2 linked regions of the Elephas maximus indicus genome follow. The protein of the gene in region 2 interacts with the protein of the main gene of each other region in a pairwise test. Links are inferred from orthologs where the notes say so. Each region holds a gene or a part of one and is shown on either strand. Other genes may lie near its edges. The genes, in order: SLC23A1 and AHCYL1.

Evidence for each region.
Region 1: the proteins of AHCYL1 (region 2) and SLC23A1 interact in binary tests that used the Homo sapiens proteins (3 or more experiments, as listed by UniProt). The two-hybrid records come from large-scale screens. The link is inferred for Elephas maximus indicus from reciprocal best matches to the Homo sapiens genes AHCYL1 and SLC23A1.

Annotation. Positions count from the first base shown.
Region 1 is NC_064820.1:152,516,033-152,523,255, forward strand, and holds the start of SLC23A1 (solute carrier family 23 member 1), read right to left. Parts: upstream 3,174-7,223; 5' UTR 2,688-3,173; coding exon 2,606-2,687; intron 1,466-2,605; coding exon 1,404-1,465; intron 863-1,403; coding exon 734-862; intron 319-733; coding exon 161-318; intron 1-160. Other genes in the region: MZB1 (marginal zone B- and B1-cell-specific protein), read right to left, coding at 4,242-4,398, 4,486-4,596, 4,982-5,106, 6,457-6,693.
Region 2 is NC_064821.1:171,380,743-171,388,581, forward strand, and holds the start of AHCYL1 (S-adenosylhomocysteine hydrolase-like protein 1), read right to left. Parts: upstream 3,010-7,839; 5' UTR 2,918-3,009; coding exon 2,798-2,917; intron 1-2,797. UniProt on the Homo sapiens protein: Multifaceted cellular regulator which coordinates several essential cellular functions including regulation of epithelial HCO3(-) and fluid secretion, mRNA processing and DNA replication.

The sequences.
Region 1 (7,223 bases), on a different chromosome or scaffold from region 2:
TAGGACCCTGCTGCCTGGCTCTAAGGCTGACCTGGGGGTAAGGAACAGCAGATGGGGGTGGGTGGCAGCTTTTTTTGTCCCATCAGAGTACTCTGAGAGAAGTAGCCTCCTCCTGCTGTGTGGATTGCTGGAGGAGAGTGGCGGAGGCGGGGCAGCTCACCGGATGCCCAGTGTGGTCTGGATGAGGGTGGTGATACCCACGCATGTGAAGATGGTGCCGATGAGCTGGCTAACCATATGCTGGTCACGGCCCACACACAGCGCCTCAGCCAGGAGGAAGGGCACAGCGATGGTGCCACTGAAGCATGTCAGATAATGCTGGGGGGCAGGGGGAGTGCATGAGCCAAGGATTACAGAGTTCAGGGGAAACAGGGGTACCCTAATAGTCCTCACCTGCCTCAGTGGTCTACCCAGGACTGACGATCCCCATGAGGGATTCCCAGAGAGCTACCACTCAACTCTCTGGGGGTCACTAATCTCCTCGAGTTATCCCCACAGCTTCTGTGGAGCCAGCACTCTTCCCTGCCACTGACACTCCAACTGGCGGGGGATGAATGCTTCTAGAGGGTTAATCCTCTCTTAGGCCTCTTCCCTACCTCTACTTGGTGACAGCCACTGTGTTGACCTTAGTTTTCTCTTCCTGTTACCCAAGATAACTCCGTTGGCCAGGGAGAGGGCTGGGATCAGAGAGAGCCCAAAGTGAGGGGTGGAAAGACCCTGGGGGGAAGCCCACCTGGAAGCCCAGCAGGATGCACAGGTACCAAGGTGGCACATCCTCGATCTTGTACAACATGTCAAACTTGGACTCTGTGGGCAGGGACATCTGGGGGTCCCTGGTGGCTGCTGAGTCCAGGGATTCATGCTGAGGGCAGCAGAGAGAAGTAGTTCAGGTGGAGTAATGGGGGACAGGCAAAATCCAACCTGCTTCAGAAACAATCAGCCTGAGTGGCCTGTCAGCTCCTCAGAGTGGGGATCCGAGCCTGGAGCCCCACACCCTCCCACACAAGTCCATCCACCCAGCTGTCACTCAACCCGGCCACACTTGGCTTCTACTTCACGCTGCTTTATGCATGGATGAGTGTGCTATGGCTGGCTCCTGGAGCAGTTGGGACCCGGACATTCTAGCCAGGGGAATGGGTGCCTAAGTCAAGTGGCCTGGGGGCGAGGAGGAGAGGGAGCCAAGTGGCTTTAAGACTGTAAACAGGCTCTCCCTGGACCCAACTTGGGTCCTCTACTCCCTAGAGGTCCTTGGGGTATTACTGAGAACCCCTACTGGTCCCTACCCCAGCCCCCAACTCCCACATTCAGCCTGGGGCAGTCACTCTTGATCAAGTTCGTCAGAACCTTTTTCTCTGCCCTCCGGCCCCCACCTCACCGCCCAGGTCCTACCCATCCCCCAGCACCTGTGTCTGGCCCTCAGGGTCCTCCTGGACTCTCATCTTTCGGGCACTGTTGTGAGCAGTTCCTGAGAAAAGGAAAGGACTTTACGAAGGAGGACTTTACACATCAGACATTGTTCGAAGTAGTAAATCTGTAACCAGAGCCCCAGCACTGGATTGCGAAAGTAGAACCCAGGTGGAGGTAATGTATTAACTCTGGCCATAGTGGTAAAGGCCGCCAAGCCTCTGCCATACTTCCCTCCTGAGCGCTCCCTTCCCCACCAGCACCTGAGCCTGGGCATGGGACCTGTTCTTGTTTGCCAAGAGGTGGCTGGAGAGGCGGGTGGGTGGGCAGTGGGGAGTCTTGGAAGTTTACCAAGAACTGGGTGAGGTTTGAGGAAAGGGAGGGAGAAAGGGCATTTAGCATGTGCCACACCCTGTATGAGGCCCTTCCCCACTTATTAATGACAAGTTAATCATTATCATCATCATCATAACCACTCTTGTTACTGAGGAATGGCTACATGCCGAGCAAAGTATATGTACTGTCATGTTTAACCCCATGGTGTTGGATGGAATTATCCTCTTTTACAGTTGAGAAAACAGATTCAGAAAGAGGTGAGTTGACAAACATCACCCAGGTAGCAAAGTTCTAAAAAAAAAAAAAATTCCTAAAATTCACATTGGTCTGAACTCCAGAGCCTATGGTATAAATCATCACATTATGTGTGATAAAGTCCTGCCCTCCCCACACCCCACCACTTAGGGTCCCTGAGGCACATAACATAGAGGAGCCTCTGAAGAAAGAGCTGCCCAGGCAGACCTGGCCTGCCCTGTCCCTGTGTCAGGGCCCAGATTCCTTTTCCCTCCCATGCCAGGACCAGCTACATAATTTGTGGAGCCCAGTACAAAATGAAAATGTTGGGCTCCTTGTTCAAAAATTATGAAGAATTTTAAGATGACAACAGCAGAGTATCAAATGGAGCATGGGGGCTTTCTAAGTGCAGGGTACACATCAAAAGCCCATGCAGCCAGCCCTACTCCTGGCCTGTACCCTCCTGGCAGGCCCAGCCCAGCCTGGCCTTGGGGTCTGAGGGCTGGCTGAAGGGTAGCTGGGGAGGAACCCAGAGTCTCAAAGCTCCTCAGCTGGTGGGTGCTGGGCCTAGGGTCCCAGATTCTACTACCTTCTGTGCTGCCCCACCCCCAGCCCCCCAGGGCCCACCTACTTCTGGGTCTCTGTGTCCACAGCCAGGCCCTGCCCCGAGGACCTGTGGGCAGCATTGCTCTCCAGCTGGGCAGCAGCTTCATGACACAGCCTGTGTGCCGGTCTGGCCTCCAGCCCTTTCGTCTGTCGGTCTATCCTCTTCTCTCCCTTCTTGGCTTCTAATTCCAGGTTCCCAAAGTTGTCTGACCAGTTCAGAGCTTGGAGGCACGCTCCTCAGAACTTTTCTCCCCACCCTCTCCTCCCAATGCTCCCCAGGGGGCTGTGGAGACAGAGCCCAACCCTTTACAGCCCCATGACACACAATTCAACCAAAGCCACACAACACACAGACAGGACGGGAAGTTGCTCATGGTCCCAGGTACATGGACGTGCAAATAGACGTAGAGACTCTGTTGCAAAGAATGTCTCCGAATCAATCTATATAAACACAAGATCACACAGGTCCACGTCACAGGTGCCCAACTCCACACCCCATACACTGACGGCTCATCCGGTTCCTTGGCCCTGGCCCTCCTCCTGGTGCTTAGGGGTTCTCTCTAGGTTGAGGGCCAGGGAAGAAGGAGCCTCAGGCAAATCCTGGAACAGGTGAAGGAATGTGGAGGTTGGGACAGCAATTCAGCCCCAGGGAAGCTGGAGTGGTCCTGGCTTGCATGGGGTATTCCTGTTCCTCCAGTAGCTGACCTCCCCACACCCCCCCCACCCCCACCCTGCCACTACCCAGTCTGGGACTTAGCCTGAGCTCTTGTGGTGTCTAAGCCCTGGTTTCTGTGTCCGTCAAATGGGGATTAGAGTCTCTGTTCTGGTCACCTCCCAGGGCTCCGGTAGGAACAGAAACGCTCACAAATGAAACTGAAAATTGTCACCCCACTTGACCCCAGGTTCCCAGATTCAGGTGCAGGACCAGGGCTCACCCCAAGTTCACAGATCCAGGTAAGGGATCACGGGTCTGTTCTCAAGGAAAGGGCCCCAGACCAGAGGAGGTACTGAGGAGAGCTGGACTTGGAGCCAAGATGTTGAATCCAGCTAGTCCTAGGAAGCCCACCCCGCCCTGTCCCAGGCAGGGACTCAATCATGCCACTGGGGTCAGAGGCAGCAGAGTCTTGAAAGTGATCAGTCCCTGGCCATTGCCCCGTGAGCCTTCTGGGCACAGAGCATGGAGTGGCCACAGTAGGTGTGTCCACAAAGTGGCCTGCCTGTATAGATTCCCTTGGTTGGTCTTTTCTGTGATGATAGAGCTGAAGACCTGGGGTTACGCTGTGCATGTAACTGGGTCCCTGTGCCTTTATTGCTGCCCATTCCCTACCATGGTAGAGCTCTCTCACCTCTGGGAAGTCGTAGGCGTATATTTGGCCCTTTCCAGGAGGAGCATTAGCAGAAACACCTATGTCTGCCCTCTCAGCCCTCCAAGCACCCTTTGCTGAGAGAAGGAGTCAAGGTCACTGGGTTTTATTGGAATCCAGAGGAGAAGACCTTGGCCCCCACCCAGACCCCAGTGCCTCAAGGCTGGAGGAGGGAGAGACAGTGGCAGTGCAAGGCAAGGCCTCCCTGCCCTCAGGACCAGCCTGCAGAAGGGAATGGGGATGATTACAGAGGAAAGCCCCAGCTTCTAGGGCTGATACTGGGAAGCAGGAGTCAGACTAGAGCTCTTCCCTTGTGATGGATGCCTCCTCCAAGCAGGCCCCCCGGGAACCCCCACACAGCAACGCCTCCAGAGCCGCATGGCCTTGGTGGTGGGCTTCATAGATCTGGTCTTCTCCAAACTCCCCCAGGTAGTGCAGACACGTCTTGGAGAGCCTAGGGGAGCCCAACAGGAGCTCAGACTCTGCCCACCCCACAGAGGCAGACCGGGGCTCCATCCCATTTCCCTCCCACTGTCATCACCTGATGGGCCAGGGGCCCCCTGTGACCATCACGCTGATGCTTGGCTCTGGCCCCTTGCTGAGCCCTGGGCCTGTGAGGCGTTTCACCTGGTTCACCTCTCGGACCCCGTAGCTGGTGACAGTGGGGAGCAGAAGGATGCAGCGTTACTGGGAGCCTGGTCAGGGAGGGGCCTATCTCCACATGAAGCTGGGGATACTCGACGGCATTGTCAGCATTTGCTAAGTTCAGTGCCCAGAGCTGATCCTCCCTGGTGGAACACTGTGGCCCAGAGAGGGAAATCCCTGGCCACAACAAGCCAGTGAGTCCATGTTTCCTCCAATGGCCACTTCACTGGTCCACCTGCTCCCAGTTCCAGAGTCCAGGCTTCACCCTAGCTAGCCCCAAACTCTATCCAGAGCCCTTGTGGAGTGTGTGTGGTATGAGTTGGAGAGTGGGGATCTCTACCCACCAGCCTTGACCCTGGAGGTGAGGGGAAAGGGCTGGATTGACAACTCACCCCTGCCAGCTCTGGGAGCAGCTTCGATCCAGGACATCTGTATACACTGACTCACTCAGCTCTCGCCGCCTCCCAGACTCTGGGGTATGAAGCTTGGCCTCGGCCTCTGCCAGATGTTGCCACATCTGGAACAAGGAGGGGCTGTGAGCCAGGGCTTTGGGACTGCAGAGTAGGGGGAGGAGACTGCATCCAGGGGTGAGATCTCAGGAGAGTCTGAGGTGGCAACGGAGCAGTTTGGGCAGGAAGCACCTGTGAGGCGGGCTACACGGCCCCTCCCTGAGTCCCCACAACCTGGGCCCGGGGCCAGCCCAGGCAGGATCCACTCCTTAGGATGGTGGCGGAGTAGGAAACTCTCAAGTGAAACCTGAGGCCTGGGCACAGGGTCCCCTGTGCCTACTCCCAGCACATCTGCCCTGAAACCACTGCCCATTAGTACATGCTATTTTAAACCATGCATCAAGGTGGGGAAAAAAGTAGAGTTCAGTCTTCAGTGCCATGCGTACTCACGGTCCCATGTGCATGCACACATACAGACACAGAGGCACAGGTATGCTCAACAGGCGTATACGTGACCTCAGACATGTACTCATATATGCATGCATTAACACATGTGCAGAGATACAAAGGCACCCCAGTCATGTTTGGGACGGAGTTCAGATGTAAAGAGAGACCTTGTCATGGATTGGATTGTATCCTCCAAAAATGTGTGTCAGCTTGGCTAGGCCATCATTCCCATTATTGTGTGGTTGTCCTCCATTTTGTGATCTGATGTAATTACCTATGTGTTGTAAATCCTAGCCTCTATGATGTTAATGAGGCAGGGTTAGAGGCAGTTACATTAATGAGGCAGGACAGAATTTACAGGATTAAGTTGTTTCTTGAGTCAATCTCTTTTGAGATATGAAAGAGAGAAGTTAGCAGAGAGGAACGGGACTTCCTATCCCCAGGAAAGAAGAGCCAGGAGCAAGGGTGTCCTTTGGACCCAGGGTCCCTCTATTGACAAACTCCTAGACCCAGCAGAAGATTGACAACAAGGACCTTCCCCAGAGCTGACAAAGAGAGAAAGCCTTCACCTGTAGCTGGTGCCCTGAATTTAGCCTCCTAAACTGTGAGAGAATAAATTTGTTTGTTAAAGCATCCACTCGTGGTATTTCTGTTACAGCAGCACTAGATAACTAAGACTGACCTGGAAAGGGAGGGGTCTGATAGGACAAGAGAGTCATTCCCTGGGATATCAAAACAATTTGAGGCATTCCAGAATGTTATTTTCTGCTGAGCAGGCAGATGGGTAAATTGAGGCATGGGGGGGTTAGATGAAGTGAGGATGCTAATATCCTGGAAGGCTGAGTCTGGGGCTTACTGCCTAGGGCTGAGAGTGGGGGACTCAAAGGTCAGTGGTGGAATCTGAGGTAGATGGAAGGGTCTGGCTTGAGGAGGGGGCTTGGCAGGGGCAGGGGGAGTGTTCAGGGGCTTACCTGGTAGGCCACGGCCCTGCAGGCATCACAACGCAGGTGAGTAGGCATATGAACCGAGTATATCTCTTCATCGTCCAACTGTGGGGCAGTGGCCGTGAGCGGAGCTCTGTCCCCAAGGCCCCCTGGGATCGCCCAGGCCCCCAGCAGTGGCAGTAGTAGTGGTAGTGACAGCCTCATGGCCCCTGGAGCCAGCTCAGCAAGCATGGGATGTGTTGGCATGCAAGTGTGCATATGCATGTGTGTGGGGGGACTGCCACGGATGCCTGGCCCAGCCCAATGAGGAACTGACACCTCACCCCTCCCATTTTCTCCCTTCCCCCAGGGCCCTGAAGATGCCACGTGTGCACCTTCTCTGGCTGGCGGGACTGCCTGGCTCCAGTCATCTCAGATCCATTTTGCAGATAGGGAACCATGAGGCCAGGGCAAGAACATGTGGGAACAAGTACCTCCCACATCCTGGGGTCTGCCCATGTGCCACACGCTGTGCTGAGCACTTTGTGGGAGGAGGTGGTTACTGTCATCTTTATTCTACTGCTGAGGACTCTGAGGCTCAGGGAGAAATGACAACTACAAGGCCTCCCAGTTAGAGGGGCAGAGCCAAAGTTGGAACTCAGGCCTGATTGATCGCAAAGCCTATCAGCTGCTCAGCTACCAGGAGGAAAGAGGCCCCAGGTGTGATTGACAGCCTAGGGCTCCCTCCCTGGGAGGCACGTCAAGCTCACTAAGAGTGGGATGCCACCATATGTGAAAGACACACATGGTCTCCT
Region 2 (7,839 bases):
GACTTTTTAAAAAGCCCTCTTGCTATCTTAGTTTCCAACATGCCTCTATCTCCACCTATTCTTAACAAGTACTTATCTGAAAGATGAGAAAACTGAAGCGCAGATGCTAAATTCATTTGCTAAACGAGATACTCATTTAGTTGGCTTCTTGACACCCAGATCAAACTGTGAAATCCAACAAGCCCTATTATTTACATAGCACTGTGCTAGACCCCAGGGCCACACAAAACTAAGTCATTATTATAGCTGAAGAATCCAGATACCTCTGCTTTGAACGGGTGGACATCCACTCAACTCCAAGCAAAGCAAACAAAGTGAGTAAAAGCTCACCAGGAAGCTACCCTGGAATCTGATGCAGGACCATCGAGGTCACCCTGAAATAACCTATATTCTTTGACTGGCACCAGAAATGCCCTCATTTCCCTGGGGCCTCCAGGCTTGGATGATTCAAGGATTTCTTGGTCTAGAGCCAGGTTGGAATCCTCACAGGTGAAAGGTGAAGGACTGGCACCATTTCAGGAGGTCTTTTTCTCATACCATTCAGTACCATGCCAAACTACCTTTTTCCTCTTATTTTTCCATGCTTTCTCATGTTATCGGCACGTGGCAGAGGTACAGAAGTGACTTAAGTCATAATGTCCAACTAGGTTGAAGTTCTGAAATATGGATTACCTAGGACCTGATATGTGACCTTGAACTAGTCCTCAAGTGACCCATTAACTAAATAAATGCCTTTTATCATCACTAGGGGAAGAGTAATTAGTCATCATAAAGCACTTTAATACAAGTGCTGCGTAAATGCTAAGCAATAAAGCTCAGAAAGAGCAAGGTTAATAAGAAACACGGGGGCACATTTACCAGCAAATGGAAACTAACAACAGGGCATTCCCACATCCCTGGCCGGGACTGCTTCTTTCAGCTGATGGAATACAAGTCTCGAAAATCATTAGCTCTTGGCCTTACAATAATACACATTAACAACATTCCTCCTGGGAAGAGGAGAGAAAAAGGATATTTATTTCTGGGAGGCAGCCATCCTGACATCTCAGTTACTTGTTAGCCAGGTGGGCAATTAATATTTGAGTACAGTATCTAGGTACAGAGCTAGGCATAAAGAGGCCCTGCCTTTATGAAAGTTTACAAACTATAATACAAACTTTGTCTTATCACGGTGGCATTCACAAATAAGAATAAAGACACTTAATACCCTGAAGCAACTAGACAAAAGATGGGCTAATGGGGAGAGTAAGAGTCCAGGGAATTAGGGTATCAGGGCTTTCCCATTCTTCCTTCTAATTCCCCGAGATAATACCTATAACCATTCAGCCTCTAAGTGCAGTGACTGTTTCTCCAAAGAACTGTGCAGAATACAAAGAGTTACAGCCCCCTGCAGCCAGCTGAACCAAAGAGCAGTAAAAATACAGTTAATCAAGACTCCTTAGAACCAAGGGATGGTCCTTAATCTCTTTTAGGCATTTCGTTGGTAAGATCTCAATTTTTTTGGGGGGGGAGGGGAGGAGACAGCACACACACAATGTCTTTTCAATGTGGCATTTGGTATCTGCAATGGTGCGTTAAATTCTTTCATTTTAAATGTCATCTCTCCCACTTAAGATAGCTTAGCCAGTTCAGGTGTAGGAGCCTCAAGGACTGTAACAACTCCTGCAAGCCTCTGTTCAGCTTATACAAGCACTGCATCCCATCAAACGCTGCAGGCAGAGGTAGCTTTGACAGACTCTGTCTTTATATAGGAGAGAAATTATCCGGGTTCTCACTGGTTTCAGAAAGGTCACCTTTTTGTTGCAAAGATTCTCTGGTCTACTGTTAACTGGGTGCCAGGTATGTAGAAAGTCAAGATGTGGTTGGCAGTAAATGATCAGGAAGCACTAGGGACCCCAATTCCACCACCTGGAGAAGTGTTTGGACTAAAACCTCCAAAGAGTTCCATTTAATCTTCCACAACAAGAGGATCAGAAGGGTGTCCTTTGAGTTCAACCCACAGCACAACAGACTAAACTTGTTCTGCCTCAATAAGAGCAGTAAAGAATGAGCAATCATTCCCTACCGCCCACCCTGCCAACCCACCCAAGCTCCTTTCTCAAGGGATGTCTAAGTGATCTATTCACACGACTCTCGATCAACCTGTATCCATGACAGTGTCTGCTGTCACCAACCTCCAAACGTTAATTCCTTAGAGATGTCAAAGCAACAGGAAGACCGTAGAAGGTGAAAATCATAGTTTTCTTTTCAATCTCACGGTGCATTCATTGCCTTCACCTAAATAAAACCGCTGGGTCCACGCATTCTTTTCTCTTGCCTCCAAGCTATCACGCAGTTGCTGGATAAAACGACCACTGTTCCCAAAGACTTGCCCGAAAAAGCTCTGCCGGATTCATTCACTCACCTGAGGGGAGCTTCTCTGCACAACCCACCCCCCGCCGCCCCCGCGGCTGGTCGTAGGGGCCGGCTGAGTTTGTTCACCCCCTCACTCCCGTCCTCGAGGCCCTTCATCCAGGAAAACTCAGTGGGAAATTTAAGGCCCGGCCCTGTCGGGTTTAAGAAAGATCCTAGAGGGCTAGGGCCGAGGGACAAAGGAAAGCGAGGTCACGGACGGCCTTTCCAGCTCGGGATGGGCCTGGGGCCGTTCACCCGCCACCCCACACCACCTCTGCTGTCCCCAATCATCCCAAACCCTCGCCCCTGAAGTCCCGAACTAGCCGAAGCCGGGACCCGGGGCTCGCTCGCGCCCCTTCCGCGAGGCCCGGCGGGCCCCCGCCGCCACCCACAGCCCCCGCACCTTCTTGGGCGCCTTGGTGACGGTGGCCAGGAAGGAGTACTTCTCCGCGTCCTCGATCTCCTTGGCCTGCTTCAGCTCCTCCCCGACCCCGGGCAGCGGCATCGCGTCAGGCATCGACATCCCCCGGCCGGCCTGGCCCGCGGCTTACCCGCCGCCCCCGCCTCCTTCCCTCACGGGCGTCCGCCCGCCTGCTCGCTCCGCGCCCTCCGACACGCGCTTGCCCGCCCTCCCGCCCGGCCCCAACTCGGGCTGCGTTCGCTTCTAAGGGGCTGCGGCCGACGCCTCGTCAGCTTGGCAGTTCAACACAGCGGGACACGGACGGCCGCGCTAGGAGCACCAGAAGCAGCAGCGCGGAGCTCCCACCGGCCAGCGCCGCCACCTCCGCCGCACGCAAACACGCACGCAAAGTAAGGGCAGAGGGCGGGACGCCACGTTAAGTATTGGCAACTCCTGGGAGGGGGAAGAGGCGGGGAGAAGTGGGCTCTGTCGTGACGTCATCACGCTGGACCGGGCTGGGCCCCAGAAGCCACCTCCTCTTTCTCTAGCTGATGGTAAAACTCCGTCCCAGGGTGAGCCGGACCCTTTGTGCCGCCAGGTGGCGCCATCAGCCCTGTGAGCGGCTCAGGGTTCTTGCTTGGATGCCAGAGGCTTGAGGGTATTTGGGCTGTAGGGGGGAGCCCCGGTAGGGCAGTGGTTAAGAGCTCCGCCGCTACGCAAAAGGTCAGCTAACCAGCCGCTCTTGGGAAACCCTGTGGGGTAGTTCTACTCTGTCCTGTAGGGTCTCTTTGAGTTGGAGTCGACTGAACGGTAACGGTTTTTTTTTTTTGGACTGCGGTGTTCCGGGCGAGGCGAGATCTCAGAGGGCGTAAGGGGTATGCTGGGAGCAAAGACCAGAACCCTACAGGTCATATCCTACAGCCGTTCCTAGGAATGTTCCGGGGCCACGGACAACTCACTCACTCACTGCCTCTGCCCCAGGCCCTTTGGACCAGCTGCCCCCTCCTAAGAGGCCATGTTTGCCTCTTCTCACCCTACAGGGGTGGACAGAACAAAATCAGAGCTATCTGGTTTCTGCACAACCCTTTGTGACCTGCACTGACACCGCCTCTGCCTGGGCCTTGTCTGTTTACAAGACCTTCAGGCCGCATAGCCATGCTGGGTCAGAGGGTGGAAAGCAGTAGTAAGGCGGGAGAAGTCCCCAGCCTGAAAGCTTTCCTGCTCCATCCTCCACCCAAGCATTAGGCTCTGCCGACTCCCACTGGGCACCCAGGGCACTCATGGGCCATTCACACACTTTTACTGGGCACTACTGTTTTTTTGCTTACTGTGTGCAGCCCCTGCGCTAAGACCTTGGATGGCAAAGGCATGCGTGACACATTTTATGTTTTGCAAGGGCTTAGTCCAGCTGGAAGGAGCCCTGGTGGTGCCACAGTTAAATGCTCAGCTGCTCATCGAAAGGTTGGCAGTTCAAACCCACCCAGCAGCTCCGGAGGAGAAAGATATGGCAGTCTGCTTCTGTAAGGGTTACAGCCAAGAGAAGCCTATGGGGCAGTTCCACTCTGTCACCTGGGCTCGCTATGAGTTAGAATCAACTCCACAGCAGCCAGCAAGTCCAGCTGGAGAGGCAGAACCTGTATGGAACCTAAATGTCAGCTGAGGTAGCTTGTCCCTTGAGATTGAAATGACATTGGCTGGAATTCCCATGTCCTGTGGAAAGTCCAATGCCCTTGCCAGGATTTCTGTGAATTACTGAGTGGGCTTACATGTTCATGGTCACTTCTGGCCCCAGTTTTACTCCCTGCTCCGGTCTTGCAACTGTTTCTTTAGCTCCTGTGTTCCAAATATGAAACACAGCCCCTTCTCTTTCAACCTCCATCCCCAACCCCAAAGCAACTACAAAAGTAAGGCTGTAACATGTAGCAGAACTTTTAATGAAGGCTTGTGGGTCACAGGGGAGAGGTTACATCACACAGCAAACAATTTAAAATCACATTTCTGAAATGTTCTGAGAAGTTATTTTGGCTGTCTCACCACTTGGGATTTCTCACTGGCCATACCCCTTAGCCCACTGCCGTCTAATCTAACTCCCTCTTGTTACTCCCCTCCCACCCCTCCCTTCTTGACTGATTCTGGGAAGCCAGATTCCTCTCTACAATGCTGAACAATTCAAGCCTTCCCAGGGCCTTTTTCCTAAATTCCTCTACAAGCCCACCTTTTAAAATCCAGAAACCCATTAAGTCTTTAACAGGGCCAACACTTTTGAGAACAAAGTTGTGGTTTGAAATGATGTTTTCCTCACTTGCATGTGTTCAAGGTTGGGGAGAGGTTGAAATACTTCTGGGGGTCCCGGGAGTCTTAGTTGGAGAAGTATACATTCCAAACACCCAGCCTCTTGAGGCTGTCTGCTTGAAGCAGGCTATGCAAGTGCCTAGAAGGACGCTCACTTCTGCAGACCTGGTCTTGGGCTGTTGGGATTCTCTCATCTGCCCACTCTTCGGAGCACCCAGACCTCCCTCTCCCTGCTACATCCCTGTAGCAGAAGGGGCAGAGAGATGGGGGACCAGAGCACCAGATTCATCCATAAGGGTTCAGAGTGCCACCTTTCTCTTCATCTCCCAGCTGGAGCCAGACACTACAACCGGCCCACCCAGCACCCTCTGAACATAAGACCCACGGTCACTTCCGTCCTGTGGGTTTGCCCAAACTGTTGTCAGAGCCTCAGGATCAGAGCTACCTGCTCGAAGAACAGAGGCAGAGCCAGTTAGAACCTTGGATAGAAAACCAGGAGGCTTAGGGTAGTTTATTAAAAAAAAAAAAAGGAAGAGACGTGTCTGGCTTTTGGATTTGATTTTTAAAAATCTCATCATCCAAGTGCTTTGCCTCTCAGTCTCCTGCTGTGCCTTCTAGCTTTCAGACTGTGAGATTCCTGGAGACTGAAGTTCAGCCTCTCTTTGCCTCCTCCTGGACCAAATTCACAGGCTTGCCCTCACACCAGGCTCATAGAGTTGGCTGCTGCTGCAGCATGGTGAAGACATGGCCAGGACTAGAGGAGGCAGTGCCTTAGCAGTTTGGGCCAGGAAGGAGACCAGCAGGTCAGACTCCCCTTACCTGAATGCCTGGCCCAAGTAGAGGCTTAGTGAGACCGACTAAGGGGAGCTGGGGGTGCTTAGGCTGGAAGATGGGAGGGGCGGCACTCCCTGCTCTGGTAGAAAGGCAGTGGGCCTTTGTAGTTCATGTCAGGTCAAGGTCTAGGGGCATTCCCACTTCAGAGGGCATAGGTGATTGCCACCCTGCACCGTGTGTGCACTGGAGATCAAAGAGCTCACCCAGTCAGGGAGCGTGGCAACCTAACGTCGTTGAGAACCATTGCATGTTGCCACACATTCCTAAGATGGCCCTACCCGGCCCAGCTAATGGGGTTGCCTCTCATGGGTGCCCAGGAATGATTTGTCTGCCACCACCCACCACCTGACTCAGTGCCCACCGCTCTGAACAGCACAATCCAAACACAGATGAGAGAAATGTCCAGAGACCAGGTTTAAGAAGAGCAGGGACCCAATGACAGGTGCATGTGTTGTGTGTGGTGAGGGGAAGTCTCCAAAGGGCCTGGAGACCAGAGGGGACCGTGTTCTAGAAGGAACTGGGGTGAGTGTGGAGGTGAAGTAGGAGATGCTGTCGCCAGAAATGTAGTGGCCCTAGGGTACCACACATGGGCTTGTTCTGGTTAGCCAAATTCACTCTTCTGTCTGTCCCAAAATTTACCCTCCACATTAACACATTTTTTTTTTATTCATAAAATATATATTGAGTGCTGAAGAAGTTCAGGAGTGGCGCTAGATTTTGGGACTACAGAGACAGATGAGGTCCCTGATTTCTACCTGGGGACGGGAATAGGGGGTGATTGGGGAAGGCGTCTTAGAGGGAGATGCTGCTGGAGCTGCCTCTGGACAAGGCAGGGAGGGATTCTAGGCTGAAGGAACTGCATGAGAAAAGGCAGGGCAGCTGAAATATCTCTGCACAGGTGGAACATAGGGTACAAAGTTGGGCGAGGGAGATATGAAGCTGGAGCCAGAGCATGCAGGGCTTGGTGGCCCATGCGTGGGTGGTGGTGCACAGCCACTGGGAACATGGGAGGAGATGCAGGTCTGGGTGGAAGGGCCGCCGAGATGAGAGCTCAGCTTTAGATGTTGAGCTGGATACATCTGCAGAACACACTGTCCCCGAGACCCAGGGGAGCCTTGGTTGGCACCTTTCACACCCAGCCTGGCACCCCACCAGACAAAGGCTGGGTACTCCCTGTAGGCTTTCCACCTCCTGCAGGTCAGGCTCTACTTTGGCACTTGGGAATGTGGTAATAGGTTTTTGAAATATTGTAATTCAATCAAAGCAGAACGGAAAATGGCAGGTACACACTGATGGCAGGTATGTAAAAATGAGCTTCTGCAAATTGAAAAGAATCAAGTGAAATTAGAAGCCTTAAAGAGATTTTTATTCTCACAGGTTTTTTTTTTCCCCCTGTGTAGACTACATTCAAAATAATGATAAATATGATCATAAGCACAGGAGAAGGAGGAGTCTAAAAAAAATTTTTTTTTTTTTCTTTTTGAAGGAGGAGTCTAGTGGGGGAAAATTACTGGAGATCCTGGGTGATGTTGTTGTTAGCAGCTGTTGAGGCGATTCCGACTCATGGCGACCCCATCTGTACAGAGTAGAACTGCTCCATAGGGCTTTCTTGGCTGTCATCTTTACGGAAGCAGCTCTTTCTCTCCTTCTACGCTGCTGAGTGGGTTGGAACCGCCAACCTTTAGGTTAGCAGCTGATCGCAAACCACTTGTACTACCTAGGGACCTTTGGGTGACAATAAACCCATTGCCATGGAGTTGATTCTGACACACAGTGACCCTATAGGACAGAGTAGAACTGCCCCATAGGGTTTCCAAGGCAGTAAATCTTTATGGAAGCAGACTGCCACATCTTTCTCCCGAGCAGCGGCTGGGGGGTTTGAACCTCTGACCTTTTGGTTAACAGCTGAGCACTTAACC